Linked DNA regions of Macaca mulatta. The protein of the gene in region 1 interacts with the protein of each later gene in a biochemical or structural test. Links are inferred from orthologs where the notes say so. Each region holds a gene or a part of one and is shown in the gene's direction. Other genes may lie near its edges. The genes, in order: MAGI1, CRHR1, NET1, CYSLTR2 and FCHSD2.

Region 1 (5,582 bases):
CATTTGGTGTCACTGTAGGATGGGCAAATGTTCCTGTGTTAAATGATGCTGAGAAAAATAGGTCTGGGCTGGAAGTCTCTGCAGAGGCCCTTTCGTTGTTCCCAGAAAGGCCACACACTCAGCAGACCTAAAACAGACTCTGCCAGGAACCCAGTGCTGGCTGGACAGCACCAGTGGTCTATTTCGGTAATAATCCTCCTGCTTGAGTGAACCAAAGACGGAGACACAACTTGATTTAATTTGTTGTTTCATTGAGGCTATTACAGCAAATATCCTTTAGCCAGCTACTCGAACAGAAAGAAAATATTGTTACCTTAGCGTGCTCAAGAAAATATTACTCTCAAATTGTGTTTATGGGAGTCCTGTGCTGTAGCTTAGCTCCATGTTCCCGGTGTTTTGCAGCTTAGCCTCAGCAATTATAATAAAAGCAGTGGATAGAAAGCACCCATTTACAGCCCTGGCACTGAGATAGCTCAAGTAAAAAGATCAGATTCGAACTCCTCTGACTTGTACTTACTGGTCATTTGGTTTCTTGTTTGTTGGTGCATTCATTCACTATACATTTTAAGTTTGTGGGTGAATCACTAAAAAGGGACATCTCTTCACCAACCTAAAATCTAAACATCCACCTTCTTCTTCCCTATTCCGTTGTACAAAACTGGAGAAGAAAAGAATTAAATTCTCAGGCCCGCACTTTCCTTCAGCCCCAAATCCAGTTAATTAAATAAGAAGGTATGCACTACAGCGTTTGAAAATCTCCTTTAGGATTCATTGCAACCGAATCGTATTTTTTTCTCTTTAAATAAAAGATACGTCATTTTATAGGTCATAAAACACCCTATGTATACATTAAAATATTAAGTAAGAATTAAATAGAAATAACCCTCTTTTACCTTAGTGAAGTAACAGAGTGGTATATAGAACGATTTCATATATAGTAAGTATTTTCTTATGGAAATTACATTTCTTTTAAAAAACAAGATATTCATTTTAAAGCCCTGGACCATTACTGGGCGTTGAAAGTAAAATACCAAGTTATTGGAAAATGAATTAATACTTTTAATGCTGAAATATCATAGGCAAATTCTAGAGTAAATCAGCGATTTTGGCAATGAGATATATGATTCATTAATATAGACTCTTTGTCATCACCATTGATCTTAAGGATTTGGAGGCCTGGCTGATTTTGGTAATAGTATTGAAATCCTAATAAACTTTGTACAGTCACCCCTCAGTATCTGCCGGGAATTGGTTTCAGGACACCTGCATCCCCCATCAAGGTTGTAAAAATCCATGGATGCTTAAATCCCTTGAAAATAGCATAATATTTGTGTGGAACACACACATACACACACACACACTCTCCTTCCTGTATTATTTGTTTGTTTGTTGTTTATGTATTTATTTATCTATTTGAGACAGCGTCTCACTCTGTCACCCAGGCTGGAGTGCACTGGGGCAGTCATGGCACACTGCAGTTTTAACCTCCCTGGCTCAAGCGATTCTCCCACCTCAGCTTCCTGAGTAGCTAGGACTATAGACACACACCACCACACCTGAACCATTTTTTATTTTTTGTAGAGACAAGGTCTCACTATGTTGCCCAGACTCAAATGCCTGGGCTCAAGCGATTCGCCGGCTTTGGCCTCCCAAAGTGCTGGGATTGCCACTGTAAGCTACCGCACCCACCTCCTCCTATATACTTTAAATCGTCTCTACACTGCTTATGACATCTAATACAATGCAAATGCCATGTAAATAGTTGTGATACTGTATTAGGAATAACGACAAGAAAAAAAAAATCTCTACGTATTCATCACAGCTAAAACCATTGTAGGTCTAACAAATTTTCTATCTGTGATTGGTTGAATCTAAGGATGCAGAACCCACAGATATGGAGGGCTGACTGTATGCAGAAATACTAGAATGTTTGAGAGTAATTTTTGGCAAAAATGATCTAACAAATTATTAGCATTGCTAGTCTTAATTATTTTAAGGAAGAAGAAAGTGACTTAAAGATAAATCAGAAAGTCTGTTTAAACCAAGCTGTTCTCTTTCATCCTCTAGTAGAGGAAACATCTGGTGACTTAACATGACTTCAGAATCCTTAGAGCCGGCTTCAGAGGTGGCTCTGACTTAGCCTGAGTTCTGTTCTTGGACATGGACACCTGCTTTGCAGTGTGGCACATCATACTTTTAATTTACTTAATTCCCCTTGCAAGAATACTGAGGAAAGCAGTTAATGCTGACTATTTGTAGTTAAGGATCATGGCTTGGGCTTGATTCGGAATTATCAAACAGTGATGAGTCCTTTGAAGAACTTTAGGGCTCAGTGACTATTCCCACTATTTACTTTATCCCCATGTCTTCTGTTATTTCACCTGTTCAGAGTATTTTGTTTCTTTGCCTATATTGAAAAGCTTCCATCTGATCAAGCACCACCATTCTTGTCTTGCAACTGTGTTCATCTTGGGGGTATCACTGCTTTTATCAGAAAAATAATCCATGTCTTTTTTCTCCCCTCTCTGCAGTTCCAGATTACCAGGAACAGGACATCTTCCTCTGGAGAAAAGAGACTGGATTTGGATTTAGGATTCTGGGTGGAAATGAACCAGGGGAACCTGTGAGTCTTTTGCTCGTCTCTCTCCCCGGCATATTTTTCTAAGGCTTCAAAGCAAATTGGCAACAGTGACAAATCACCAAGATTTGTCCAGCTAGATGCAACACTGACTCTTTCATCTTGAGTAGTATGGGTTTTTCATTGGATTTTGTGGAGCACTGTTTGTCTTGAGGAAGAAGAGACTAGATTCTTTCTAAAAAGTTTGTATGCGTGTTTGTGAAAAGTGGCAGCTGCAGCCTCTGTAGACCACCCCTTTCCCCCAAGGGAGACAAAAACAGAAAGCAAAACAGGATAATCATCACCTGATGTAACAGTAGCCTGGTCCTTCTGGCCAGGTCCCTTCACTCTGCCAGCAGGTACTGGGCTTTGTGTGTTGAGTTGCTGGTGTGCAGAGAGTATTTCACAAAGCCTTATGGGACAGTGATTGGAGAATGTCAGAACCCTGCCTTTACAAAACTTGAGAAAGAACCCTGAGTAAGGGTCAAGAAACGTTGAACTTCCCTGGATCTCAGTGACCTCCATTTTGGAATAAATTTAGAATAACATAACAGGGTTCTTTTGAAGGAAGAAAAGAAAACTAAAATAGGTATTGTTAATTTCCTTGTGATAATAATAGCCATTATTCATCGAGCGCTTACTATGTGCCAGGTTCTGTGCTAAAGGCTCTTAACATACATTCTCTCATTTATCCATCAAACCCACCAGTTTATCCCGTTTTCACATTGAGAAAAAGAAAAGCTAATTAACTTGCCCAAGATTACGGAGCTACCAAACGGAGGGACTGACAAATAAGGTCTGACTCGAATCCATGTTCTTAGCAACTATTTTGTCAAAGTTCTTTGCAAACTGTAAATGCCATGTAAAGGTAACTATAGCATTATTGTCTGCTGGAAAGGCAAGGTAGGCACAAGTATTTTAGCTAAGGTTTAGTGAATGGCAAATATAACAGTAAGACATTAACTATAAAGAATGCTCTGCTTTCAGGTGCTAAAAGACTTCGAAAATGGAGATGTCCAACTAATTTTTGCTTCATTCATTCATTTAAGAGTATTTATTACATATTCCCTATTCCTAGGCATGATGCTAGACTCTTAAATAAAAGTAATATTAAAATTTTATTAGCAGAGTTGTATGGAAAGAGAGTTTTTAGGTAGGTAGGAAAGAAGAATAGGTTGTACAATGAAGGGAGAAAAGTGATTTATATCTACAGCGGAGAAAAAGAAAGAGTGAGTTGTCAGTAGGCCACAGATAAACAGCTGGAAACTAAGCAAGAAATATTCTTTCCACCATTTAATAATTGTGACAATACTTAGCACAATGTCTTGTACACAGTGGGTGCTCAATAAATGTTTGTGGCATGCCTGCAGACATGAATGAATGAATTGTTCCCAGAGATGTGAAGGCCATTGATGTCACAGTAAATGTAGGAGAGAAGTGTTTCATCCATCGTTCAATTATTCAACAGATTTATATTGGTCACATTGTACCACTGGGTGCTGCTGATACCGACGGCCGCCTGAGGTCTGGAGATGAATTAATCTGTGTGGATGGGACGCCAGTAATTGGAAAATCACACCAGCTTGTGGTCCAGCTTATGCAACAAGCTGCCAAACAAGGCCACGTCAATCTCACAGTGCGGCGTAAAGTGGTTTTTGCGGGTATGTATTTCATTCATTCGTTCAGACAGTGCGTTGTCACTTGATTCACAGAAAAGGCCTCCTTCCTGTGTCTGCCTCCTTGAGCATCTATTTTAGCAAATGTTTGCAAATGTGATCAAGCTCAGAATTTCCAGATGGCTTGCTTCTCTCAAACCCTGCAAAAATTACTGTCATTCTAAAGTACTTTAATGTGCCGTTTGCATATGTTCAACAAAGTCTTCCAGAGGAAGGCTTGTTGAATATATATTACTTCCCTTCTATCTCCTTGCAAATCAGAACTTAGCCATCCTCTTCATTTGATGATAATCCTCAACAAATGAGGTCATTATGAAAGTCAGAAGAGTTGTAGCTTCATATCAAGAGAACAAAAATTGGGTTTGTGCTACAAAATAAGCTCATAAAAAAGTTACTGATTTCTTACTGTCCTATGTATTAAACCAAGATTTTTTTTTCTTTCTACAAGAAAGTTGTAGAGCCAGCCAGTTCTAGGTCAGCTTTGATTCCTTCTTCCTGCCCATAAGCTTTGAACTTTAATTCTCAAAATACTACATATCCTTTCAGGCTCAGCACAAATATAACCTTCTTCCCTCGGAAATTCCTCCTTCCTCCGACTACCTTCAGATTTTAGCATTCCCTCCTTGCCATTCTAGTGACTCATGGTTTACTTCCACATCCGAATCTGCCATTTTGAGACAGTGAATTGTGTGTCTGTCCTTTCCCTTGACCTACCAGCTTCCTGAAAGCTCACGTTGAATACACCTTGTTGTTCACCTTTGGATGCAGCTCCCACTTTGAAACCTTTGAGACAGAACCCAGAATACAGCAGAAGTGATTGTCTTCTATCAGTTGAATTACTGGAGAAATATGACCTGAAATATTATGAATTCTTGTGGCATTAATATTAGTGAAACAGATACCTGCCAGATCAAATTAATTGGTACCTTGTTTTTTTTTTTAAAAAAAAGTATAACCCATTTTAAATGGTATATGATTAATTATAGAATTAAGATGTTAAATTCCAGTGTGAGAGTCCTACCTCCTGCATCCATGGAAAACAGTGTTAATCTGCTGTAGGTTATGTCCCTAGAGCTTGTTTGTGGCCTCACAATCCTTCTTAACATAGTATTCCATGCAGCTAAAAGCAGTCAGTTAGAACTGGTTTTTGAGATGAGATGAAAACTATCTGGCTTCCCTGGCCCAAATAGAAATAGTAAGGCAATGTGATATTTTGTGTTTCAGGTTTATTTTTTTAAATATTAAATATTTTGGATTTTTAGCTCTGTGTAAAAGGCGTGTCAAAACTA
Region 2 (5,582 bases), on another chromosome or scaffold:
ATGGGAAGGCTTCATCACTCTTGGAACTTAAGATTGCTGTAAAGAGGAGGGCAGTGACCTCCATCAGTATATTAAATTCATTAGGAAATAAACCCGGGGAATGTGTTCCAGTCCTGGGAGAGGATCCTGTTCACTTTGCACAGATCCCCTTGGGCCAGGGATGGGGAAGGCCCTGGAAAGTGAGTTATGGAGCCTAAGGAGACTGTTCTGTGCTTTCGGCTGATTCTGTGGATGCCAGAGCCCAGCAGCTGTCCGGCCCCTCCTCGCTCACAGGAGCAGGCGGCGTTGCAGCAGGAGGGATTCAAGGGCGGCCGAGACGGTAGTGACTCAGTTCAGAAATGGGTGGAGAAGATAAATCCCGGGAGGTTGGTGTCTCTGCAGCTGAGAGGTCCACCTGGTGTTCCGACCGGGTGGCAGCATGGGCAGATGCGACTGTGAGGGCGCACCTGTGAGCCGGCCACACACGCTTATGCGTGCAGAGGGGGCGTCCGTGTGGAGTGGGGAATCCCACGTGATGTGGAGACTCAGACACAACACAGAGCAGTGAACAGAGCATGGGATTCAGGGACAGACAGAGCCTCAAACTGGACAGCATTGCTCTGCAGCGAGGCCTGACCCACAGCAGGTACTCAGGAAGGGGGAGTGGCCCTTGAGATCATGACCTGCTCCGTCCCAGCCACCCCCAGGCAATGTCCTCATAGAGCGGCTCCCATCCAGCAGGCGCAAGGGCTTGGCTGTGCAGAAAGCTCACCTCTGCCCCTCTCTCCTGCTCCAGAAAAAAAGCAAGGTGCACTACCATGTCGCAGTCATCATCAACTACCTGGGCCACTGTATCTCCCTGGTGGCCCTCCTGGTGGCCTTTGTCCTCTTCCTGCGGCTCAGGTGAGCAGACCCCAGCACTGCGTCCTCTTGTCCCCCGGCCCTAGAGCAGGAGCAGGGTGGAGAAGTGAGAGGAGCAGCTCGAGGTCGGGGTGGGGGTTGCTGGGAGAGGGTGGTAGGGCCTGGCTTATCCGAGAGTCTCAGGTCTCCGGGAACCTCTGGCAGAGCCGCTCTGCCCCCTCCGCAGTAGCTGCTGGAATGGTGGGGAGGGACAAAGCTTGTTTTATGTCACCCACACCCAGGACGGGCTGCACCCATTGGGGTGACCAGGCAGATGGTGCCCTGGAGGTGGGGGCTCCATGGAGTGGTGACCCATTTCAGGTTCGAAAGTACATGGGCCCCAGCACTACCGCCAAGGATGCAGGTGGCAGAGCCAGGGATGGGGATGGTTGGGATCAGGAGCCGAGCATCAGGGCTGGAGGCTGGGAGCAAGGCTGACCCCTGTGACTGTCCATCCTGGAATGGCAGGGAGTGGAAGGCACCCCCAGGGGAAGCAGGCATCCCCAGGAAGCCAGCTGCCCTGGTCCATGGAGTGCCAGGCAGAGCCTGGGGCTTTTGTCTGGGTGGGTTGCAGGCAGGAAGGGCTCCATGGGGCATTAGGAGAGCCTTGCTGTCACTTCCCTGTGTGACTTGGCCAGTTAGCCCTACCCTGTGCCTCAGTTTCCTCATCTACACATCTGGGTTGGGGTGATGTGGGTGGCCTGCCCCTTATCCTCTCTCTCCTGTCGCTCCCATCATCCACCTGCCCTGCTGCACCAGGAGCATCCGGTGCCTGCGAAACATCATCCACTGGAACCTCATCTCCGCCTTCATCCTGCGCAACGCCACCTGGTTCGTGGTGCAGCTAACCATGAGCCCTGAGGTCCACCAGAGCAACGTGGTGCGTCCTGGCGGGGGAGCGGGGAGCAGGTCAGGCCAAACCCACGTCAGAGAAGGGGCCCAGGTGGGCCTGCCCTGCAGAGGAGGAGCCCACAGAACAGGAGTGGGATCCCAGGGTGTGCCCCGTCCTGCCTGGGGGAGGCCCAGGGCCAGGGTTTGGTGCCACCCCTGCCCCTCATCATCATCTTTGGTTGGGGGTGGGGTGGCAGGTCTGGTGCAGGTTGGTGACCGCCGCCTACAACTACTTCCATGTGACCAACTTCTTCTGGATGTTCGGTGAGGGCTGCTACCTGCACACAGCCATCGTGCTCACCTACTCCACCGACCGGCTGCGCAAGTGGATGTTCATCTGCATCGGCTGGGGTGAGCTGGGCAGCCACCTCCCCAGCCTGGGCAGTGGCAGCCACCGTGCTGCCGTCTCCTCACCCAGACTCAGGCCAGAGGGCTGGGGGGCCTGAGGGATGGAGGTCGGGTTGGGGCAGTGGGGTGTGTGCCATAGCCCTCTGCTCCTCTTGGGGGTGGGGGGCAGCAGGAGCACCTTGAAGGAGGTGTGTGAGTTTGAGATCCACCCTGGGTAACCCTAGACCGCCTGGAGCCTGGGCTGCACTGGGGTCCTCCAGGCCCACATTCCCCAGCCCCCGCTGAGGGCTCTGTGACAGCCCATCTCTCCCCCAGGTGTGCCCTTCCCCATCATTGTGGCCTGGGCCATTGGGAAGCTGTACTACGACAATGAGAAGTAAGTCACCTCCTTTCCCTTCCTGCCCCCAAGGTTTAGGCTCCCAGCCTAGCTTGGTGACACTCCCAAGGGCCTTGGGCCATGCTGGCTTTCCCCTCAGGACCATGGCTTCTGCATCTGTAAAGGGAGGGATCTGGGGGGTTGGACTCATTCAGAGGGTCCCTGCCTGTGCTCTGCCTGGGTGGGACTGGACAAACAGGATCCAGCCTCCTTTATCTGCCTTGAGCTTACACAGGAAGCAGCCTGGAGCCAGACTGCCCAGGTTCAGAATCGTGGCTCCGTCATTAAATAGCTGTGTGACCTTGGACGGATTACTGCAGCGTGCCTCAGTTTCCTCATCTATAAAATGGACATACTGCCTCAAAGGGCTGTTGTGGGGTGATATCAGTCCATCTATATTAAGCATTTAGAATCGGACCTGGCACATAGAGCAAATGCTGTATAAATGTGTTCTCGTAATATTAAGACATCTTAATAGAAGAGTCCGTGAATTTAACAGAAGTGGACCTAGATGATCCCAGAGGCTTCTTCCAGCTCTGAAGTTCTTTGGTTCCTTATGAAACGGACTCAGGTGTTTCCAGTCGTGCCTGGAAACTTGATTTCTGCTGCAGTGGTGCTCAGCCTTGGCTCACATTAGAATCACCTGGGATGCTTCGAAAAGTACCAGTGCCCAGGCTTCACCGCCAGAGAGTCAGGTGTAATTAGTCTGGGGTGTGGCCTGGCACCCAGAATTCTTGAAAACTGCCCAGGTGATTCTAATGTGCAGCTAAGATTGAGAACCACTGAGAGAGAGGGGGGCAGAAAAGGTGGACGTGGATGGCAGGGGAGCCCCAGGACCTTGTTTGCCAAACAGGTGTTCCCAGGAACCTATCTGACTGACTGACCTGGCGTCCAAGTGGCCTCCACCACAGTGACAAGCCCTCTCCTCACCCCACGGAGGGGAGGGGGCCTGCATGGCTTCATTGGGCTGACGAAGGAGCCTGGAAGATTATCTTGCGTGTTTAGGAGGTTGACTCCCTCCTGACTCAGGCTAGCTGAGGCCTTGGGAGGCCGAGGCGGGTGGATCACTTGAGGTCAGGAGTTTGAGACCAGGCTGGCCAACATGGTGAAACCCCATATCTACTAAAAAAAAATACAAAAATTAGCTGGGTGTGGTGGTGCACACCTGTAGTGCCAGCTACTTGGGAAGGCTGAGGCAAGAGACTCTCTTGAACCCAGGAGGCAGAGGTTGCAGTGAGCCAAGATCGTGCCACTGCTCTCCAGCCTGGGCAACAGAGCAAGACTCCACAAGCCTCAAAAAACAAAGCAAAACAAAAACTGTTTGGGCTAAAGGAGAAAGTGAGTCTGAGCGGCTCTGAAGCCCCACCTGGTGGTGAAAATTCAACACTGCAACAGAGGGGATCTGGGTGTGAGAAAGCAGAAACGAACTTGCAGACCAGAGGCTCAAGGACTGGACCCAGCCCACAGAAGCTGTGTGTGGCCGGCAGGGTGTTTTCTGGAAACTCGATTTTGTAGCCAAGCTTTAAAAAATCCAAAGGTTTCGTATACAAATCTCAATTTCTGGCTTATGAGATCTAGCCACTGGGGGTCTTCTTACCCACGGGGACATAAGGGCTTCCAGTTTGTCTGGTCCCCACCCACTCCCCAGGCCTCCCTGGAGCTTGCTGGAGGGACACTCAGGAAAATGCAAAGCAATTACCCCCTGCAGCAGGTAGAACCTGTGCAGATGTTCCTCTCAAGGTCGTTCGGGCTGCGATTGGACAGGTTCAGGCTGAGATTGAGAACTGCTGGGTGCCCACTGGGTGACACGTGTGGTACCACTCCCACCAGCAGCCCCCCAGAGGACATGCTGGGCCTCAGCCACAGCCAGGGGACCGTGAGGAGGAGCCAAGGATGCAGCTTGCGTATTGAGCTCACGCCCGTTCCCGGCCACGCAGTCTTTCCCACTGTCTGCCTCCTGCCCCGATGCTTGCTTCCAACTTTGCATCTCATCACAGAGGATGCTGTCCATTCTGCAGATGGGACAACTGAGGCTTGGCAGTGGGATCAAGTGACTTGACCTTCTGCCAGGGTTGGAATTGGGACATCTACCTCCTGGCTTCCAGCCCCAGTCCTATCCTGGCCAAGCACTGTCCCTCCCCATGCCACCGAGGCAGATGCAGATGATGACTCCTCCCCTTTCCTCTGTGGCCTTCTAGGTGCTGGTTTGGCAAAAGGCCTGGGGTGTACACCGACTATATCTACCAGGGCCCCATGATCCTGGTCCTGCTGGTAAGACCCTGGGTAGGGGCAGGAGACAGGGCCCAGTGGGGAGGGGCGATCAATGCCAACCGTGGACAGAAAGGACCCCTCTGCCTAGAGGTGGGGGCCACCCAAGGAGGGGGCATGGGCCAGGGATGTGCAGCTGCTCCTGAGGAGGAGGGAGAACAGCAGGAGCACTGAGGCCAGAGAGGCCAGAACTGAGAAGCCTGGGTCCCCAGCCTCTTGCACACTCCAGCCTGCTGGTGTGCTCAAATTGCAGATCAATTTCATCTTCCTTTTCAATATCGTCCGCATCCTCATGACCAAGCTCCGGGCATCCACCACGTCTGAGACCATTCAGTACAGGTAACCGGGTACCACCTCCCCCAGGCCTCCCCCTGATGAAACCCCTGCTCCCCATGCCTCTCACGTGCCAGAGACCTGCCACTCCCTCCCCTGACCTGGCCCTCTGCTGAGCCAGCGGGCAGCCAGTCCTGGGGTGGGCTGTGACTCCAAGCCTCCCCACCTGCCCCACCCCAGGAAGGCTGTGAAAGCCACTCTGGTGCTGCTGCCCCTCCTGGGCATCACCTACATGCTGTTCTTCGTCAATCCCGGGGAGGATGAGGTCTCCCGGGTCGTCTTCATCTACTTCAACTCCTTCCTGGAATCCTTCCAGGTACAGCCCTGGAGGGGCACACTGGCACCTCCTTGGGTGGGGATTCTCCCAAGCAGATGCCTGGAGGGTAGGAGGCCAGGGAGAAGCAAGGGGCAGCCCAGAGGCTGGGTGGGCAACACCTGTGACCGACCTTTGACGCCTTCTCTCTCCTCCCCAGGGCTTCTTTGTGTC
Region 3 (6,330 bases), on another chromosome or scaffold:
TTCAGACTTGCTCAGTTCGGATCGGGTAATACAGCTGAGCCCTGATTGGTTAAAGCAGATGAGTTCTGATTAGTTAGATCAGGTGAGCCCTGATTCGTCAATTCACGTAAATTGTGGAAATCCCAAAGGGACGTGGGTTTTCTGCACACAGAGTAGGTGTGACGTCTAGTCAAGCAGATAGCCCTTATCTCTGTTCAAAATCTGAGCCCAGTTAGCCACTTGGGATTTGACTTGAAGAATTGCTCTTACAGGTTTATTTTTGTTCATAATCTAAATATCTGCATCCACTGAAGCTCTGTCTTGGTAGAGACCAATTCCCCAAATATTAAGAACATTTCTTTATTCTTACACTCTAACGGCTATAAAGCAATGCTTTCTTCTTTGATTTTTGGGGAGAGATAGGGAAGGTAGAACAGAAGTGGTACTTATCCAAGGTCAACTTGTGTCCAGAGTTGGTTCCTTCCAGTGGGTTCATGGTCTTGCTGACTTCAAGAATGAAGCCATAGACCTTCGTGGTGAGTGTTACAGCTCTTAAAGGTGGCATGGATCCACAGAGTGAGCAGCAGCAAGATTTATTGTAAAGAGCAAAAGAACAAGGCTTACACAGCGTGGAAGGGGACCCCAGCGGGTTGCCACTGCAGGCTGGGGTGGACAGCTTTTATTCCCTTATTTGTCCCTTCCATGTTCCTTTTTTGTCCTATCAGAGTGCCCTTTTTTCAATCCTCCCTGCAATTGGCTACTTTGAGGGTCCTGCTGATTGGTATTTTACAGAGCGCTGATTGGTGCATTTTACAATTCTCTTGCCAGCTACAGAGAGCTGATCTGGTGCATTTTTGCAGAGTGCTGATTGGTGCATTTTACAATCCCCTTGCTAGCTACAGAGCACTGATTGGTGCGTTTTACAATCCTAGCTAAAGAATGCTGATTGGTGCGTTTTACAATCCTAGCTACAGAGTGCTGATTGGTGCATTTTGAAGTCCTCTTCCTAGACAGAAAAGTTCTCCAAGTCCCCACTCAACCCAGGACGTCCAGCTGGCTTCGCCTCTCAATCTTACTCCCTAATTTCTTGCTCTTTTTAAAACTAAAACATTTTTCCCTCATGTTATAAAGGTTCTACAAGTTCAATATGTCCTTATTTTAAAAAAAATTAAGTGCAAAAAATAAAAATTTTGAATACCTGAAGTCTAACTACCTAGAGACATTTTAATACATTGATTTTTTAATACATTTAATACATTTTAACACATTGACATTATCTTTTTCCTTTGTATAATCTCTTGTAATTCATAACTGAATATACTGAATATATCTCTATACTTCATGTTTTTATTTCAAATTACCAGTATACTATTACACACTTCACACTTCATTTTTGTTGGCTGAAAATATTCTTCTCAGTGGATGAGCTGTAAATCATTGTTTATTTAGGTTGTCTTAAATGTTTCTATTATAAACAATATCATTAATAGCTTCATGTTTATATAATTTTATTTTTTAGGATAAATTTCCAGAAGTTGAAATATAGTGCCAAAAGAGAAGTGTTTTTTTTTTTTTTTTGGAGACGGAGTCTCGCTCTGTCGCTGAGCTGGAGTGCAGTGCCATGATCTTGGTTCACTACAACCTCCGACTCCTTGGTTCAAGGGATTCTTCTGCCTCAGCCTCCCGAGTAGCTGGGATTACAGGCATGTGCCACCATGCCCAGTTAATTTTTGTATTTTAGTAGCGATGGGGTTTCACCATGTTGGCCAGGATGGTCTTGATCTCCTGACCTCATGATCCGCCTGCCTCGGCCTCCCAAAGTGCTGGGATTACAGGCGTGAGCCACCACTGCCGGTCAGGAGAAGCTATTTTAAAGACTTTGACACATATAAAGCAATATTTAAATTCAAAGAACGTGTAATTTAACAATTTTTTTTTTTTTTTTACTTGAGGCCGTCCTTTATTTTGTATTATGTCTTTTGCTGACTTTTTACAAGCAAAGGATGAAGTTACTTCATTCCGTTTTGCTAAGGAGAGACTGTGTATCCTTATTGGAAGACACCAGGGCTCAAAATTAGATTTTGCTGTTTCCTACCCTGGGAACACACTTGTATAATCTTTGGTAATTGGAAATATATCTCATATTGGCCACGTGCACAGTAATTTAGTGTGTATATGGCCAATAAACAAGCCTTGTTTACAGGTCATTACTTTGGACCTCTCTTCTCCCCAAATGCTAAGAAAGATCTGATGACTTAAAATGCTTCCAGTCCATTTGCCTTGGCCTGCAGTGAAAGTCCTAATGAACAATGAAGGAGGTATCGGGCCTTGGGGATTCAGGGATGCGCTCAACAGTTAATGTCAAGTTTTCCTAGGCTCTTTCCTAGGCAAGTGGATCCCGGGAGCGGCGAAGGGGCGGGACTCCACGTCTCCTAGGAACCGCTGCGCGCTCACTGATTGGCTGATCGCTGCGCAGCCGCCATTTTCAAATCCCCGGATGACGGCGGTGGCGGCTGCAGTCCGCTGACAGGCGCTTTCTGCCTGGCAGAGGCTGGCGGGCATCGTGCCCGTCCCTGCCGGTCTTCTGGGCACCCGGCCACCGCCCCACCCCCTCCTCCGTGCCATGGAGCCCGAGCTGGCGGCTCAGAAACAGCCCCGGCCGCGGAGGCGAAGCCGCCGGGCCTCTGGGCTCAGCACGGAGGGAGTGGCGGGGCCTTCGGCAGACACCTCTGGGCCGGAGCTGGACGGGAGGTGAGTGTGGGGGAGGGGAGGGCCGAACGGGAGGTGAGTGTTGGGGAGGCAGGGGCCGGGGGGAGGGGAGGGCTGGCCGTGAGTTGGGTGTGGGGGGCAGCGAGAGCGGGGGATGGGGGGATGGGGGGGTTGGTGAGGGCCAGGGGGAGGCGAGGGCCGCTGGGAGGTAAGTGGGGGGTGGGGGAGGTGACTGCGGGGTTCGGGGGAGGACCGGGGCCGCTGGAGATGAGGGTGACACAGGCCGGAGTGACAGTGTGCCTGGCCTTGGCCTGAGGTCGGTCCTGAGACTCCCAACTGCGATTTTCCCTGCCTGTGGCAAAGGGGCGGGCTTGTTGAGTCTCCTCTCCTCCTGTTTCTCAGGGGAGACTTAGGAAAAGCCACAATGGTTTTGTTCTCCACACCCAACTGGCTGTAGACTGGAGTTCCCAAATGACTTTACTCAGACCGAAACTGACATGGTGAGCACCACGAGAATGGGGTTCCATGTCCTGAGAATGAAAAGACTAGGGGATAAGTTGTGAGATGCCTATTTCCATCACAACCATTTTCGTGTTTTTTCTTTTTACTTTTTGTGGAAGTATACATTGAAATGAGAGTGTATGACTCGTGTTTGGCTCAGTGAAATTTCACAGAGCGAAGCTCAGGGGATAGCTGGTGAATTAGGAGGAAGGGAACCAAGTGAGAACAGTATCCAGGAGGCCAAATGAAGAAAGGATTTCAAGAGGACGTGATGAGCTGTGTCAGATGTTATTGACAGGTCAAATAAAAATGAGGATTAAGTAAAATATGAGGATTAAGCTAGATGAGGAATGAAAATTAAATTTGGTAATGAGAAGAGAGTATTGATCTTAGATGGTTACCAAGAATGGTTACAATATCGAACTTAGAGTGTTTTGTAACAGGTTGAGAAGAGAATGTGCGATTTGTTCAGGAAATAATGTGAGTGCCAACACTAGGAATATGGAAATGGAAAAATACTGTTCTTACTATTTAAGGTTTATAATCTAATAGGGAAGAAAGATAAGTAGGTTAATAATTATAATGTGTGATAAAAGTTATTACAGAATATAGAATTAGAATTCTATATATTATAGAATATAGAATGCCATAGATTAAAAGGAACACTTAATCCTGACTGGAGAGAACAGGAAATGATTTCCTATTGTAATCCTGAGTCTTTGAGGACCAGTTTAGAGAGCAGATGTAGATGGGTGATTTCAGGCAGAGAGGCATGTAGAAAGACCCTGAAGCAAATGGGTCTGATGAGTTCTGGGTGTATATTCTATTTTATTACTATATTAACAATACTATTTGTATAGAGGAGAGGAGACCAGTATAGGGAGAAGGAGGAGGTAGTCATGAGAGATTTATGCTAAAGAGGTAAGAGCCACATCATGAAGAGACCTTGTATGCCTTGACAGAGTTTGGGTTTTATCTTCATGGTAGTGGGGAAATACTGAAAGACTTTAAATGAGCCAATAGCATGACATATTTGCATTTTAAAAGATCAGTTTGTCTTCCATGAGAAAAATAAGCAACATTTTGGACTCATCTCACTCTTCATATTTTATGAAAACTATTCCCCAAAAACGTGCTCATATACATAAACATTTCAGGAGATTTGTGGACTCAGCCGTGTATACCAAATTAAAATTTCCAAGTTTAGATGATGAATTGGTAGGAAATCAGTCTGCAGTAGTCTAAATGAAAAATGATGATTGTTCAAATCTGATAGCTGGCAATGGGATTGGTGAAGAGAAGTCTCACTGCAACAGGAAGACAAGGAAGAAGAATAGAGGGAAATAACACAAGTTTGTGGGATAGACTCTTAAAAAAGAATAAACTTGATGTGCTGAGCTTAGTTAACAAATAGAGGGAGAGGTCGAACAGACAGTAGAGGAGAAAAATGGTTGAACAAGGATCCAAGAAGGCAGAAAAGGATAGAATCCAAATTCAAGGTGGAGGATTTAGCCTAACAAGAAGCTATGGATGGTACATAATTTTGAAGAATGGGGTGTGTCGTGAGCAGGAATTTGAGGACTTTCCCACCAGGCCTCTATTTTTTGTGTGAGGTAGGAAATGATCTATTCTGAGAAAAGCGTAGTAACACAGGCAACATGAGGAGAGTGAGACACAGAAGAACCATGGAGGGAAAATGGAGAATTAAATAACTAACATTCCTTTTCCAGAAAAGAGGTAAGATCATCTACAAGAATATGTAAAATATTACAAGATAGTATTAATTGTGAGGCAAGAAACAACTAAGGGCTGTATCAGATTCAGAAATCATAAGGAAAATTTGTGTATATGATTGTGTGACTATTAAAAAATGTTCTGCAAAACTCACTATAAACTAATTTGAAAGACAAATACGTACAGTACAATTTACCCACTTAAATCGTACTACTTAGAACATTTTCATCACCTCAAAAAGAGCATTTATAACCTTTAGCTGTTGTTCACCTCCTGCCCCTTCTGCCCCAAAACCTAATCTCTTGGTCTGTAGGAATTTCTGTGTTCTGGACATCGCATATGAATGAATTCATGTAATGTGTGTGGCCGTTTTTGGTGGGCCATCCTTTGGGGTTTTTTTTTTTTTTTTTTTGAGACAGAATCTCACTCTTCTCACCGGGGCTGGAGTGCAGTGGTGCGATCTTGGTTCGCTGCAACCTCTGCCTCCCAGGTTCAAGCGATTCTCCTGCCTCAGCCTACTGAGTAGCTGGGACTACAGGCATGTGTCACCACACGTGGCTAATTTTTTTTATTTTTAGTAAGACGGGGTTTCACCATGTTGGCCAGGCTTGTCTTGAACTCCTGACCTTGTGATTCGCCTGCCTGGGCGAGAGCCACCGCATCTGGCCCTGCTCATTTGCAAATTTCTTTTTTATTGAGTTAAGAGTTCTTTATTCTGGATACGAGTCCCTTATCAGATAGATTATTTGCAAATATTTTCTCTTATTCTGTGGGTTGTCTTTTCACTGTCATTATGTTCTTCGAAGCACAAAAATGTTTTAGTTTGTAGTCTTACTTGTCTATTTTTGCTTTTGTTGCCTGTGTTTTGATGTCATATCCAAGAAATCACTGCTAAATCCATTGTTACGAATCCTTTCCCCAGTGCTTTCTTCTGAGAATTGTATCGTTTTAGCTTTTACATTTAGGTCTTTAATCCATTTTGAGTTAGTTTTTGTATATAATGTGAGATGAGGGTCCAACCTAATTCTTTTTCATGTGTCTATCCAGGTACCCCAGCACCATTTTTTGAAGACTGTTCCTTCTCCCATTGAGTAGTCTTAGCACCCTTGTCAAAAATCAGTTGACCATAAACATGAGAGTTTATTTTTAGACTTTGACTTTTATTCCCTTGATCTATATGTAATAGCCCTATGCCATTACCATAGTGTATTGATTACCGTTGCTTTGTGTGGTAAGTTTTGAAATTGGGAAATGTGAGTCCTCCTACTTTGTTCTTTTTTTCCCCAAGATTGCTGTGGCTATCCTCGGTCTCCTGCAATTCTGCGTGAATTTTAGAATCAGCTTATTGATTTTTACAAAGGAGTCCACTGGGATTCTGATAGGAATTGCATTAAATCTTGTAGATCA
Region 4 (6,306 bases), on another chromosome or scaffold:
ATCTCTTTCCAATGCAGCCAGTCTCCTTGTTTACCATCCTGGGCTCCTCTCAGGCCCCAAAATAGTGCTTTTTATTTTTAGGGATAAGCAAATAGTTCAGTTTGACTGGAGCATGGGAAGAAAGCAGGAGAGCAACCAAGAGGAGTAGAACCTGAAAGGGATCTGGGATTGGAGCATGAAGGCCTAAGTACTCCTAGACTTAGGCATAAGAACATACTGTCCTGGTGCCATTCTTTAGACCAGAGAGGACCAGAGGGGTCCCAACCCCTTGCGACAGGAAGGGCTGAATGAGGACCAGAGACAGGTTAGAGTCCTCCCTGATCCTCATCCAACCCCTTTCTTGTTCCAAGGGGGCTGAGAGTCTCGGGGGCTGAGGGACACTTCCTTGTCTGTATTGTGCTCTAGATACTTGAGAATTCCCCAGCCAAGTGTCCTCAAAGGTTATGGCCTTTTCCCTAGTTGCATCAGAGCATACAGTTTGTGTAGCCCTACATCCTACAGGTGGCCAAGAGCAGCTGTTTTGAGGGGAGAGGGGACATGGACGTGAGGGCTAGAATTCCCCATGCCTAAGTGTGGAGCTCTTCATATGTGGGAGGGAGCTGGGAGTGGGAAGAGGACAAGGGCAGCTGCAGGCTTTGCCAACTCTTCTGTATAATTAGGGTAATTAGCATATTCCCCACCTTAAACATTTGGCATTTATTTTTGAAAACATTCACAATTTGCTCTTCTAGCTACTTGAAAATATACAATAAATTGTTGTTTATTTCAGTCACTCTACAGTGCTGTAGAACACTAGAACACATTCCTCTTATCTAGATGTCCACTGATCAACTTTTGTGTCCATTAATCAACCTCTGTCTATCTCTCCCTGCCTCCTCCCCTTCCCAGCCTCTAGTAACCACTATTCTACTCTCTACTTCTATCAGGTCAACTTTTTTAGCTTCCACATATGAGAACATGCAGTATTTATCTTACTATGCCTGGCTTACTTCACTTAACATAATGTCTTCCAAGCTCATCCATGTTGCCACAAATGACAAAATTTTGTTCTTTTTAAATCAATAAATAGTATTCAATTGTGAATATATACATTTTTCATCCATCTTTCTGTTGATGAACATTTAGGGTGATCCATATTTTGGCTATTGTGAATAGTGCTACAGTAAACATGAGAGTGCAGAGATCTCAACAAGATTCAGTAACCCTACTACTGAGTATATATCCAAAGTATTTTATTCGTTTTGATGCTATTCTAAATGGAATCGTTTCCTTAGTTTCCATTTTTGGTTGTTTATTGTTAGTATATATAAATGCAACTGATTTTTGTGTATTGATTTCCTATCCTGCAACTTTGCTGAATTTGCTTATTAGTTCTATTGGGGTTTTGTGTGTGTGTGTGTGTGTGTGTGTATGGAATCTTCAGGTTTTCCTACGTATAAAATTTTATCATTTGCAGACAGATATAATTTTACTTATTTATTTCCAATTTGGATCCCTTTTATGTATTTTTCTTGCTTAATGTTACTGCAGCTTTCTATCCAGGAAATGAGGATTTGAACAGTGATGGGGAGGTCAGCAATGGTTGGATTTGGGACATATTTTATGGGCAGAACAAATGGAACTTGTTGGCTCAGAAGTGGGTGGTGGAAGAAAGAGAGAAGTTAAAAGTGACTTCTAGGTTTATGGATGGACTAAATTATTGTGGTGCCACTGTTTAGACAGGGTAGATGGGGGGATGCAGGACTAAGAGGGGAAGAGAAAAGGTCCATCTGGGTCACATTAAATTTGGCCATGATTGTGCATCAGATAGATAAGAGCAAGAGAAGGAGGGAAGAAGTCAGAACACAGACCTCTGGGGAAAGCTCACATGTAGAAAAGGGATGGAAGAAGAGGCATCAGAAAGAGAGGCAAAGAAGAGCAATCTGAGGGGGAGAAAAAGAACCAGGAAAGTCAGAGAAACAAGGAAGAAGTTTCAGGAAAGTGGTAGTGGTCAACTATGCAAACAAGACGGGAAGGAAGGTGAGGACTGAGAAAGGATTTTTTATGTGAGCAACAAGGTTATTGGTAACCTCTGACAGAACATTTTCAGCAGAGTGGATAAGGTCTCTGCTGGAGTGCAAGTGAATTGAAAATATAAGTGAGTGAGGGAAGTGCTTTAAACAAATCTAAAGTGCTGTGTGTGTAAGGCAGTGTTGCTATTTCTGTTGCCATGGAAACAGAAACCTTTCAGGAGAACTAAAAGCCACTTAAAATCCCTGACTCTAACCCATTATATCCGCTTGTTCTCTTGAGAAAGATAATGACAAAAACCAGTCATTAGAGGGGCAGGGCAATTTTAGGTTTCTTCTTTTTAGATGTAGCCCTTAACTGGAAATCTTCCCCCTTCTTGAGAAGAGATCTTGCACTGACATCTATACTGGCTTCTAAAAAGCACAGATGACCTGCTACACTTCCTGACTTTCTTGCTATTGGTTGGCACTGTTCATAAATATAATTTGCTGTTTCCCTTTTCTTTTAAATGAGCAATCCGAATTACTTGGAGGAGAAAGGCAGAAGAGATAGAGGCAGCAGAAGCCAGGGCAGCTGAAAGACAGAGAACTTCAGGTGGGCATTTTAATCTTTGTTTTGTTAATTCAGTGTTGAGAATCATGACTTGAAGATCACGTAATAGAGGAGTAATTTTTGAAAAGTAAATTTGTTTTGTTCTACTATAAATATTATTTTCCTATCATGTACATGGTAGTTTAAAAAATACTGTGAAAGTACAAAAATGTTAAAGGAAGCCAAATTCTCCACCAAGATAGCCTCTATTGATATTTTGGGGGTTTTCCGTGTGTGTGTGTGTGTATGTGTGTGTGTGTGTGCGTGTTTGTGAATGTGTATATGCACATATAACTTTAGTTTTCATAGTTGCGTCCCTGCACTATGGACACGTTTATATTCATTTCCTGCATTTCAGTCTATGGTTTTTCCATGTTGCTGTGAATTCTTTGTAATCATAAATTAAAGCTGCTGCATAATATTGCATTGAGGAACTTTACTTCCTCCATTTTTAGCTGTATAGCAGTTATCCTATTTTTCATAGTTTGGGTCCTTTTATTATATAAGATATATTTTTTTCATTCAGGGTCTTGTTTTAGAGGTAGAAGAAGTTGAATCTGAGCACATATGTTTCAATGGTTTTGCTTAGAGGCACAATGAGAGTGAAAGAGTATGTGAGATCATGAGCATATAATCTGTTCCTTACCCCACTGGGACCCTAACCAGTGTTTCTCAACTCTGGCTGCACATCAAGCCAGAATCACCTGACTCTGAGGAGATTAGAAAATTACCCCTAGAATAATTGAAGCTTAACTTTTAGAGATCAGCAAGTCATCTGCAGTATTTTGTCTTGTTTTCCAGAAACTTCTCAGGTGATTCTAATAGGTGGTCGGCATAAAAACAGATGACCTACGTCATTCAAAATATTTTTCTGTCTCTGACATATACCTGAGAGTAATATGTATTAGGAGAAAGGAAGGTATAATTTCAGGCAATCCAATCAAATCTCCCTTTCAACACTACATACATAATGCAAATTATAGAATAATTTGGGGGGAAACATAAGACTTCTAGAAATTTCTATCTACCTCAGCCACATAAACTCTTGAGATGAGAATCTACTTGTGTTTCGATTTACTAATGTTTTAAAGAGGTGGATTTGTTTCCAGTGCTTCGATGGTTAAAAGTTAGAGAAGTTGAGGCTGTCGTATGTTCTGAATGTACCTGAATCACGCCCATATCTGCTAGAATCTGCCAAGGCAGCCAGGCTTCCTTTCTTTTGCAATCTTCAAGATTAAACACAAGGTGGGCATTTAATAGCTGGCCAGTCACTAACACACTGTGGGCACAGTGAAGATCGATGGCATTGGATTTGGAGGCAGAAGGTGGCTCACTCTGGCTTTCAGGAGCCCCATAGACATGGCACTTACCTTCTCTGGACCTCATGTCCTCAGGAGGAAAGTGGACAGAGTTTATGCCAGGGCTGCGTTCTGGTTTCTCCCATTGGGGACTGAAAACAGAGCCAGAGCCCCTAAACCACGTTGAAGCATTTGCTGTTGCACTCCTAGCCTGCTGCAGGCCAGGAATCATGCCAACGAGACCAACAGCATGTTAATCAAATTTCTTCTTGTTTTGACTCAGTGGAGAACACCTGTTTAGTACCTTCATTAATGAATGTAAACATTCACATAGTACTTTACAAAACACGTTTACATGCATCAGTTCATTTGATCCACATACTAGCCTTAAGAACTGGAGTAATTCTTATTTTAAAGATGGTAAAGATGAGACCGAGAGAACATAGGATCTTTTCCAGGTGGAACCAGAACTGGTCCAATCTGGTTTAGCCCAGGGCACATGGTCCATTCTTACAACTTAAATAATAGCTATTGTGGGAAATTGGTTAAACATATTTCATAATGTTTATATAATTGGTTATTCTGTAGCCAGTTAGATGATGACATTGATGTTGTTATTTGGCAAAGAAAGGTGATCATGGCATGGAAATAAGAAAAAAGCAAGATATAAAACAGTATTATAAATGCGCTTATTTTTGTTTAAAAATATTTGTATATATTTCAAGAAAGATGAAAAAAAGCATATATGTGAAATTTTAGATATGTCTGGTTGGTGGTAAAGTTCATAATTTAAGTTTATTTCAGCTTGTATTACATTGTAATTTTTCTTTACCATGAACATGTACTACTTGTGTAATAAAAATAAAGGAAAGTAAATAGAATTGTTCATGTCTTTCTGGTTGGCTCTTCTCCGGATGAAATGGCCCCATCTTTTACTTGGCCGTAAAGAAGGCTGCTATTTAATTCTCTGAGTTTTGTACATTATTGTCACAAATTTTATTGTGATTGTCAGCTAGTACTGACTGAATTCTTCGTGTGTGTTGGGCACCAAGTTAATCACTTCACATCCATTTTTTTTTCATCAGTACTCACTCCAGTGCTCCTTTGGCAGAGGAGAGTTTGAAGCTCAGAGGGCTGCAGTAATAAAAGAGACTAAAAGGCAGAGTTGAAACTTAAACCCAGGACCCTTTTAACTCAAAAGCACATGGTTTCATTCATTATATCACTCTGCCTCCCATCCACCTGGGATCACATGAGCAGCCTCCGTTTTGGAGGAAAGATGCTATATTTTTTCAGTGTACTACTCATTGCTGTGTACATGAATACATGATGGTTACTTTGGGCATCATTAAGATTTCCTGTGTACTCCAGAATCAAGGATCCTTTCTGCTTTTCTATAGTTTGCTCTATGCACCAGATATCTGAGGCACTCTAGTTCCCCAAGGGTAAGGCTTTAAGATAAAAGCCTCACAAGGGATTGTGCAATTACCCAATGAACTCTGGCTAATGCGGCAGCCAAACTGGATAATACAAAGAAAGGCAAGTATTTTGCTGTGGATGCTTAGCTTTGCTAGAGAGCTTTTTGAAATCCATGTCAGAAACCCCTAGCACTGTATTTCTTTATTTATCAGGGTATTGGCCACTGCCTCCTTTGTACTGTAGTTACTTATGTACAGTAGGTTCTATTGGACTAAGACTTGGACATTGGAGTCCTTGCATAGAACCTAGCACATAAACTCCATTGAGAATAAGGCATTGTGTAAATAAATCGATTCACCAGTGAATGCAGACTTTAGTTACAGCTAATGTTTATCTCTGTGGAACTTTATTAACCTCTTTATATTAATTGACCCATGGAGAAAATATAATCTTGACAGAATTTAAAGGAAAACCTCTTCCAATGGATTGATGACTTTGTGGCAGTATAGTCAGAGTCTTTTGACAGAGAAATCTAGTTATTATTTGAGAGGCCCAGGATAAGGGTCTAAGCAGTGAGTTGGAGTCAAGAAATTCCAAAGTTGGAAGGGTCCTTAGGAAGAGCTGGGACCAGAGGTAGACTTTTTTTGCTTCTTTAGTGTGAAATCCTTAAGAGAGAGGTTTCCAGAAAGTATAGGAAGCTGACTATAGGAAGAACAAGAAGGAAGGAGAGAAAGGAAGGGAGTAGAGGAGAAAGGAGAGGAGGAAAGAGATGGAAGAGGAGGAAAAGAGATTGAAGAGGAGGGAAAGAGATGGAAAAGGAGAGAGGAACAGAGGGGAAGGGAGCCGGTTTACTCTGGAAGTTTAAATATTAAGCTGGGGTAATTTAAAATAATTTAGTCCACCATTATTACCTATATTGTACATTACATAAATAAGAATTTTTTTATTATAAAAAAGATAATTTCCCATATAAGTCTCCTCCCATGAG
Region 5 (6,382 bases), on another chromosome or scaffold:
TCAGGTAGAGGATGCCCTCCTATATGCATAAACTAAATCCCCAGGGTCTGACTTCTTCTGTGAACAGCCTCCTAAGTTCTAGGCTCACTCACTTATCTTATTCTGCAGGCTGGCACCAAGGCCCAGAGAAAGCCCACTAGATCCATGGTAGAGGCTGGATCTCATGTCTCCCAACATCCAGCACCATTATACCCCAGTGCTCACTTCCTAAGAAGAGAGGTGAAGGGAGGATAATCTCTGGCCCAGACCAGTTGCACCCAAGACTAGGATTCAGCAAATCTTTGTTAAGCACTTGCTATGTGCATGACACTGCATCCGGGCCAAGTACTGTGTTACCCCTCTTCCACTAGCCCAGTGTCATTCAAGGAATGGTTGGTCTGGAATTCAATCTTGGTGAAGGCTGATTCTATCTTGCTCATCTCTAGAACCCCAGTGCCTGGCATAGGCTTGGAACAAAGCAGGACCTTAGCAAGTATTTTTTGAATGAATGATGAATCAATAAGCACTTACTAAGCACTACATGCCAGGCCCTGTGGTAGGAGAAATTCTATTTAATACAGCAAGCCTATGAGGTTAGCATTATACCTCCATTTTACAAGTGAGGAAACAAGGCTGAAATAAGTGAATTGACTAGCTCAAGCCTTCACAAAAAATTGGTGGTGGAGCTGAGACTGGAGCCCAGCCTAGGTTACTGTGGCCTGGGCTCTAGCTGCCGCCCCACAGCTGTCAGGGCCCTAGGCCTCTATCCACCTGTCCCCTTGCCCCAGGCCTTCCCTGATTTAATTAAGGATTCTGGTGAAGGGCTAACTTTTGAACCCAGAAATAGCAAGACTAGTCTCCTAGTTCATACACAGCTCCAGATTAATCTTACTCAAAACACAGCTCTATCACTTTTCTGTACAAGAATCTAGCCTAACTCAATGTAAACAACCTGGGTTTAAGTTCCACCTTTTCAATTTCTGGCCATGTGGTCACCTGGGAAGTTACTTGTCTCTCCAGGCCTCATTCACCTTCCTCTTAGGCCTAACTGCACTTCTGAGAACAGCTGTCTGGGATCTCAACTTCTGAAAAAACCAGCTCAGCCTCCACACAGCCCCGTGACTCAAAAAAACTCCCTCGGCATGGGGAAGAGGTATTCCTCTTCTGAGGACCCCAAGGGAGGCCGATAACCCTCCCTGTAGATGGTCTGAACAGAGCAGGAAGGTTCATGTGTGGTGGTGGGGTGCACTGCTTAGATAAGCATCCTCACTGGCAGATAAGGCAGCCCGAGCTCACCTAGCCTGTTAGGGGTAGGCAAAGTGGACTGGCACCCAGAGATCCTGACTCCCAGACAAGGGCTTCCTCTATGGCCTCTCCTGCCTCCTCTACTTTTCCTCGTGCCTATTATCCTGCACCTGTTTCTTTTTTAAAATAACCCATAGAACCCTTCCTGACGCGGAGATTCTAGTCCTGCTGTGTAACCTTCAGAAAGGTTTCCCTCTATGGGCACTTGCCTCCCCGTCTGTGAAATGGGGGCCTCGGCCTTAACGTTCTCTCGGCTCCCTCTCAGCGCAGAGTCAGTGATCTTTGACTTGAATGCCCTGCAGTAGAGTGCCGCCGTTTCCTTTGCAGAGCAATTGCCTTTCCGCCCTACAATCTCAATGGCCTGGCACCTGCGGCCAGCCGCAAAGCGACTTGTCCTTGCTCGTCCCTCTTGCGCACATCTAGCTGGTAGGGAGAGTGGGGTGTTGAGGGGCTGAGAGGAAGCAAACGCCAGAATTCTGTATCCCACAGGGATGCTGACCCCCTCCCCACTGCAAACATTTCCCTGTGAGCGTCGCCCCCCGCCCCCCCGACACATACACAAACACACTGCAGCCGCAAAGGCGGGCAGGAGACGGGGGCGGCCTCTGCGCGTGCGTCGGCGCGGAGCCCTCTCCCGCCCACGTGCGCGCCCCCGAGCGGAGACGCGCGCCGGGGCGAGCTGGCGGGAAAGCGCGCGGGAAGCCCCCGGCTGGCTCTCAGCGTGGGGGAGGGAGGCCAGGAGGCGTCTGGAACGTGCCACTGTCGGAGAGAAAGGGGGGATTTTCGCCTGGCGCTGGCGTTTCTACACTTCCCACCCGCCGACCAATCCGTTAGCTCCCCCCTTCCCCTGCCGCGGTACGAAGCCCTGTGCCGTGGCCTCGCTCCCTACCGGCAGCGCGGACCGGCCCCTCGAACCCCGCTCTGGACGGAGCGGTTCCCTCAGCAGCCGGAGCGGGGCGCTGCGCCGCGCGGCGAGGCCGGAAATTCCCGCGGCCTGAGTGGTGGAGCCCTAGCCGGGAGCGCGGCACCACCTTCCTCCTCCCGGGCGGGCGGGGGCGTTAGGCCCAGCGAGGGCCGGGCCGCCTGAGTGGGTGGGGTGGGGGCCGCTGCGTCCGCCGGGAGCGGCCCAGCAGGCGGCGGACGGGGAGCGCGGACAATTCTGCTGCGGCTCACCCGCCGCCCGGCCGGTGGAGACCCTCGCGACCCCGCTCCCGGGGCCCCCGCCCCTTCGCCGTCTCCGCCTCCTTCCTCACACACCCCCGGGCCGCCCGGGCCCCAAGCCTTCCCGGCGCTCCTCCCCCTTTTCCTCACACTCGGTCTCTGGCTGGGGTCCTTCGGCCGCCCGCCGGCCTGCTCCCTTCGGGGCAAGTCCTGCTTCTTAGGCTCTCCTTTCACACACGCGCGCGCTCGCTGGGCCGTCCCCTCCTCTCCGGCCCTCCTCCTCCTGGTCCTTGCTAAGGCTGCCGTCGGGGAGGATTGATGTCCCTTCAGCATCATGCAGCCGCCGCCGAGGAAGGTAAGGGCGCAGTTGGTGGGCTTTGGGGTTCGGAGGGATGCGTACGGGGAACGCGGCTGGGGCGACCGCTGCGCCCCCTCCCCCTCCCGCAAGGGGCCGTGACCGCCCTCGCCTTGGGCTTGTCACCGACTTGCTGCCGGCTCCAGGTGGGGGGCGTGCTCGTGAGTTGCCTTTCCGACAGAAGGGCCGCCGGGGCTCGTCCCTTTTCTACGCAGGAGACCCCCAGACATTTCACAAGAGTTTCGGGTGTGCATTTGTGTGTGTGCGCGCGCATGGCAATGCTGCCCGCTGCAAAGTGCATTCTCCGGGCTGCACCGAGGGGGAGGCAGGGACGCCCCGGCAGCTTTGCAGAGCCTTGTGCGTGTGTGATTGTTTAGTCTGCACCAGCTTTGAGCCCTCCAGCCGCTTGTCGCCAGCCCCGCCCGCTTGCAAATTTGCGGGGGATTTGTTTCTAGCCTAGCCTTAGGGTTTGGCCTGCTTTTCCCACGGGGCGGCCGAAAAGAAGTTGGAATAGTCACCGCCTCCCCACCCCAAGGGAAAATAAATTAAGGATTGACGGGTCCTGCCTCGTTCCCGACTGAGGGGCGAGGAGGTTGTAGTGCTGTCTTCTGAAAAGCGAGGACCGGGCCCGGGAGGTGCGTGGCGTGTGCACTGCGATCCGGGGTTGGATGACCAGGGTGGGAGTGACGGATGCACCCTGCTTGTCATCAGCCTCCCCGCTGCGCCCTTCCCCAGCTTTCCCAGGGGTCGAGGCTGTGTCCTTGTCTTTTTAATCCTACAGATAGATACTGAATGTCTACTCTGGGCACTGGGTGGATGAGGCCGTTCTGTCCTCCCCTCGTGGGCAAACATTTGCCTAACGCCTAACTCACCCGTGTCTGCTGCCTCTGCTTTCTCTCTTTCCTAATCCGGGTTTCTCCATTTAAGTGAGTCATTTTCTTTCGAACATGTACCCCCACCCCTCCGAGTGGTCCCACTCCTAAGGCCGAGATTCCAGACCCACCGTAACTTCGCACCCTGGGGCCCGGCCTGGCGGGAGGCCCTCTGGCCAGCAGGCATTTGCTGTTCTCGCTGTTTGAAGTGGAGCCTCTACCGGGATCGGCTTGCCGGGGTAGTTTAAAAGCACTGCATATGCTGGAAGGTCACTTTAGCTTTCTCCTTTGTGAGAAAGAGATTGTGATTTGATGCGCTGTCAGCAAGTCGAGGGCATCATTCTGAGACAGTGTGCTTTTTCGCAGCCATTATGGAGTAATTTATGTAGTCGATTCATGCATATTATCATGATTGTGTAAATATTGGTCATTGGGTATCAGGCACTCTTAGCCTCCCAGCCCCCATCCACACTCTGCTTGCCTCTCCTGGTGGTTAAAGTCTTTGAATCTTTTTTAGAAATAGAAGACAGCCTCTTTTAAAACTCTAGGAAGACCTAGACATGGATTGAGCTTGTGTATGAAATGGAATGACTGGCAGTTTATTTTGCATGTCTTTAGTTTATAATATTTATAGTCGTGTATTTTCATTAAACCTCTGTTCAGGCTATTTGGCTTTAATTTTTCATTAAGTAAGTATCTTCAGTAAATAAAACTAGATGGCAAATAATGGATTTATGGCCTTCAGGGGAGAGGCGAGCAAGAGACATATTCTGACAGATGTATTTTCCTTAAGCAATTTTTTTGGGTTAAATTTGTAAAAAGACCTTCATAAATATATGGTGTATTTTAGGTGAAAGTTACCCAAGAACTGAAAAACATTCAAGTTGAGCAGATGACAAAACTTCAAGCCAAACATCAAGCAGAATGTGATTTGCTTGAAGATATGAGGTAAGGCTATAGTAAATAGTTCAAGGACTTCTATTTCTCTGTTTCAAAGAAGCTTTGAGTTACCAAGCCCCAGGAACTGATGATGGAATTTCCTTTTGGATTTCCTGCTTTAAGGCTGTTAGAACTTTGACTCAGCTGGAAATTAGAAATGGAACTAACACAATACAAACTTTTTCCTTCAGTAGGGGACCTATAATGCACACATAGTATTTGGAAAAAAGGACCTTAAAAGTCTTATTAGTCAAATTATAATAATTAAAGATTCTTGTTTAAATAATCTTTCCATGGAACTGTAACAATCATTTTATTGACCTTAACAGTTTTACACAGTTAGATTTTTAAACCAACACTTGTGGTTAATGGTTAATATCTGGGGGTGAGCCAGTCAACCCCAGATGATTATATGCTCTCACTGGGTTAGAACATGACAAATACAACTTTGTCTTTGAGTGCCAAATTTAGTGAGAAGTGTGTTTATCATATTTTATTTTATTATTGAGGTTACTCATATTCATAGTCAAGATAACTTTGAATAGCTAAGACATCTTGCTAATATTGTGAAAATCAGTATCTTTCTTCCTAGAGGGATGGATGACTTATTTTAATGAAAGAAATACCACTTATTTAACAGTCTTTTAATATAGACTGACAGTTCAACAAAGATTTTTGTCTAGAATGGGAGATGATTTGCATGGTGAAACAAGAGTGGCTGCAATTCTTATTTCCCTTTTGTAATACATTTATCACATTGGAATTGGGTCTGTAAGCCTTATCAGTTACCTAGTTTTCTGGTAGTACACTTCATGTTGGTTTCATGAAAAATATTAACTCGATGGTGTTATTATAAAATTATGTGTTTGAATTGCTGTTTGTAGCCCAAAGATTTTAGTTTTAAGAATTTCCTTTTTTTCCTCTCCTATATTTAGGCAATATAAGCATTTCTGTTGTATACGTGTCGTTAGGGTTTCTGACTAAGGCATATAAATCTATTCTCATCCAATCTGGATTTATCAAGATTGTTGTTTTCTGACTGAAAATTACAATTTTAATTCTGTATTTGTCTTTCCCCCCTTGTTATAACCATAAGAAAATATTTAGACTTAAAAATTCCTATGCGAGGCCATGCGTGGTGGCTCGCACCTGTAATCCCAGCACTTTGGCAGGCTGAGGTAGGCAGATGACCTGAGGTCTGGAGTTTGAGACCAGCCTGGCCAACATGGTGAAACACTGTCTCTACTAAAAATACAAAAATTAGCCAGGCATGGTGGCATGCGCCTGTAGTCGTAGCTACTTGGGAGGCTGAGGCAGAAGAATTGCTTGAACCCAGTAGGTGGAGGTTGCAGTGAGCCGAGATGGCAGCACTGCACTCCAGCCTGGGCAACAGAGTGAGACCCTGTCTCAAAAGAAAAAAAAAAAAATTCCTGTGTGAGATACCTGAAACTCTTGATGTGGTTAAAAGTTTAAGGTTTTTAACTTACTAAGCAAACTAAGAAATCTCTAGATGAAGAAAGTAATAAATTTTCAGAAGCAGTTCAGGAAGGCAGAATTAGTGTGTAAGTGAAGATCCCGTGTGGGGTATCGGTGGTCAGTGGTTGTAATAATTCCTGTTGATTGTGTCTTCTAAAGACTTCTTGATTGCATTTTGTCTGCATTTTTCCCCTATTGTCTGTAGCTTGGTGCAGGAGCTTATGGTAAAGAATATGGACACTGCAGTCAGACAGTCCCGAGTTTGTGTCCTGATATCTGTGCTGACTTGTGGAAA

What was found.
Region 2: the proteins of MAGI1 (region 1) and CRHR1 form a complex in vitro, tested with the Homo sapiens proteins (2 studies listed by BioGRID and IntAct, with this or other methods). The link is inferred for Macaca mulatta from reciprocal best matches to the Homo sapiens genes MAGI1 and CRHR1.
Region 3: the proteins of MAGI1 (region 1) and NET1 form a complex in vitro, tested with the Homo sapiens proteins (3 studies listed by BioGRID and IntAct, with this or other methods). The link is inferred for Macaca mulatta from reciprocal best matches to the Homo sapiens genes MAGI1 and NET1.
Region 4: the proteins of MAGI1 (region 1) and CYSLTR2 interact in a test that uses a peptide from one of them, tested with the Homo sapiens proteins (2 studies listed by IntAct, with this or other methods). The link is inferred for Macaca mulatta from reciprocal best matches to the Homo sapiens genes MAGI1 and CYSLTR2.
Region 5: the proteins of MAGI1 (region 1) and FCHSD2 form a complex in vitro, tested with the Homo sapiens proteins (2 studies listed by BioGRID and IntAct, with this or other methods). The link is inferred for Macaca mulatta from reciprocal best matches to the Homo sapiens genes MAGI1 and FCHSD2.

What each region holds. Positions count from the first base shown.
Region 1 is NC_133407.1:128,931,919-128,937,500, reverse strand, and holds part of MAGI1 (membrane-associated guanylate kinase, WW and PDZ domain-containing protein 1), read left to right. Parts: intron 1-2,531; coding exon 2,532-2,623; intron 2,624-4,085; coding exon 4,086-4,278; intron 4,279-5,582. UniProt on the Homo sapiens protein: Plays a role in coupling actin fibers to cell junctions in endothelial cells, via its interaction with AMOTL2 and CDH5. May regulate acid-induced ASIC3 currents by modulating its expression at the cell surface.
Region 2 is NC_133421.1:70,738,190-70,743,771, forward strand, and holds part of CRHR1 (corticotropin-releasing factor receptor 1), read left to right. Parts: intron 1-775; coding exon 776-882; intron 883-1,121; coding exon 1,122-1,208; intron 1,209-1,638; coding exon 1,639-1,759; intron 1,760-1,967; coding exon 1,968-2,121; intron 2,122-2,433; coding exon 2,434-2,494; intron 2,495-4,692; coding exon 4,693-4,765; intron 4,766-5,015; coding exon 5,016-5,101; intron 5,102-5,275; coding exon 5,276-5,411; intron 5,412-5,568; coding exon 5,569-5,582.
Region 3 is NC_133414.1:6,978,390-6,984,719, forward strand, and holds the start of NET1 (neuroepithelial cell-transforming gene 1 protein), read left to right. Parts: upstream 1-2,466; 5' UTR 2,467-2,602; coding exon 2,603-2,730; intron 2,731-6,330. UniProt on the Homo sapiens protein: Acts as a guanine nucleotide exchange factor (GEF) for RhoA GTPase. May be involved in activation of the SAPK/JNK pathway Stimulates genotoxic stress-induced RHOB activity in breast cancer cells leading to their cell death.
Region 4 is NC_133422.1:27,852,434-27,858,739, forward strand, and holds the start of CYSLTR2 (cysteinyl leukotriene receptor 2), read left to right. Parts: upstream 1-2,417; 5' UTR 2,418-2,604; intron 2,605-6,306. UniProt on the Homo sapiens protein: Receptor for cysteinyl leukotrienes. The response is mediated via a G-protein that activates a phosphatidylinositol-calcium second messenger system.
Region 5 is NC_133419.1:73,505,959-73,512,340, reverse strand, and holds the start of FCHSD2 (F-BAR and double SH3 domains protein 2), read left to right. Parts: upstream 1-2,563; 5' UTR 2,564-2,779; coding exon 2,780-2,800; intron 2,801-2,924; exon of another isoform or gene 2,925-3,435; intron 3,436-4,522; coding exon 4,523-4,620; intron 4,621-6,382. UniProt on the Homo sapiens protein: Adapter protein that plays a role in endocytosis via clathrin-coated pits. Contributes to the internalization of cell surface receptors, such as integrin ITGB1 and transferrin receptor.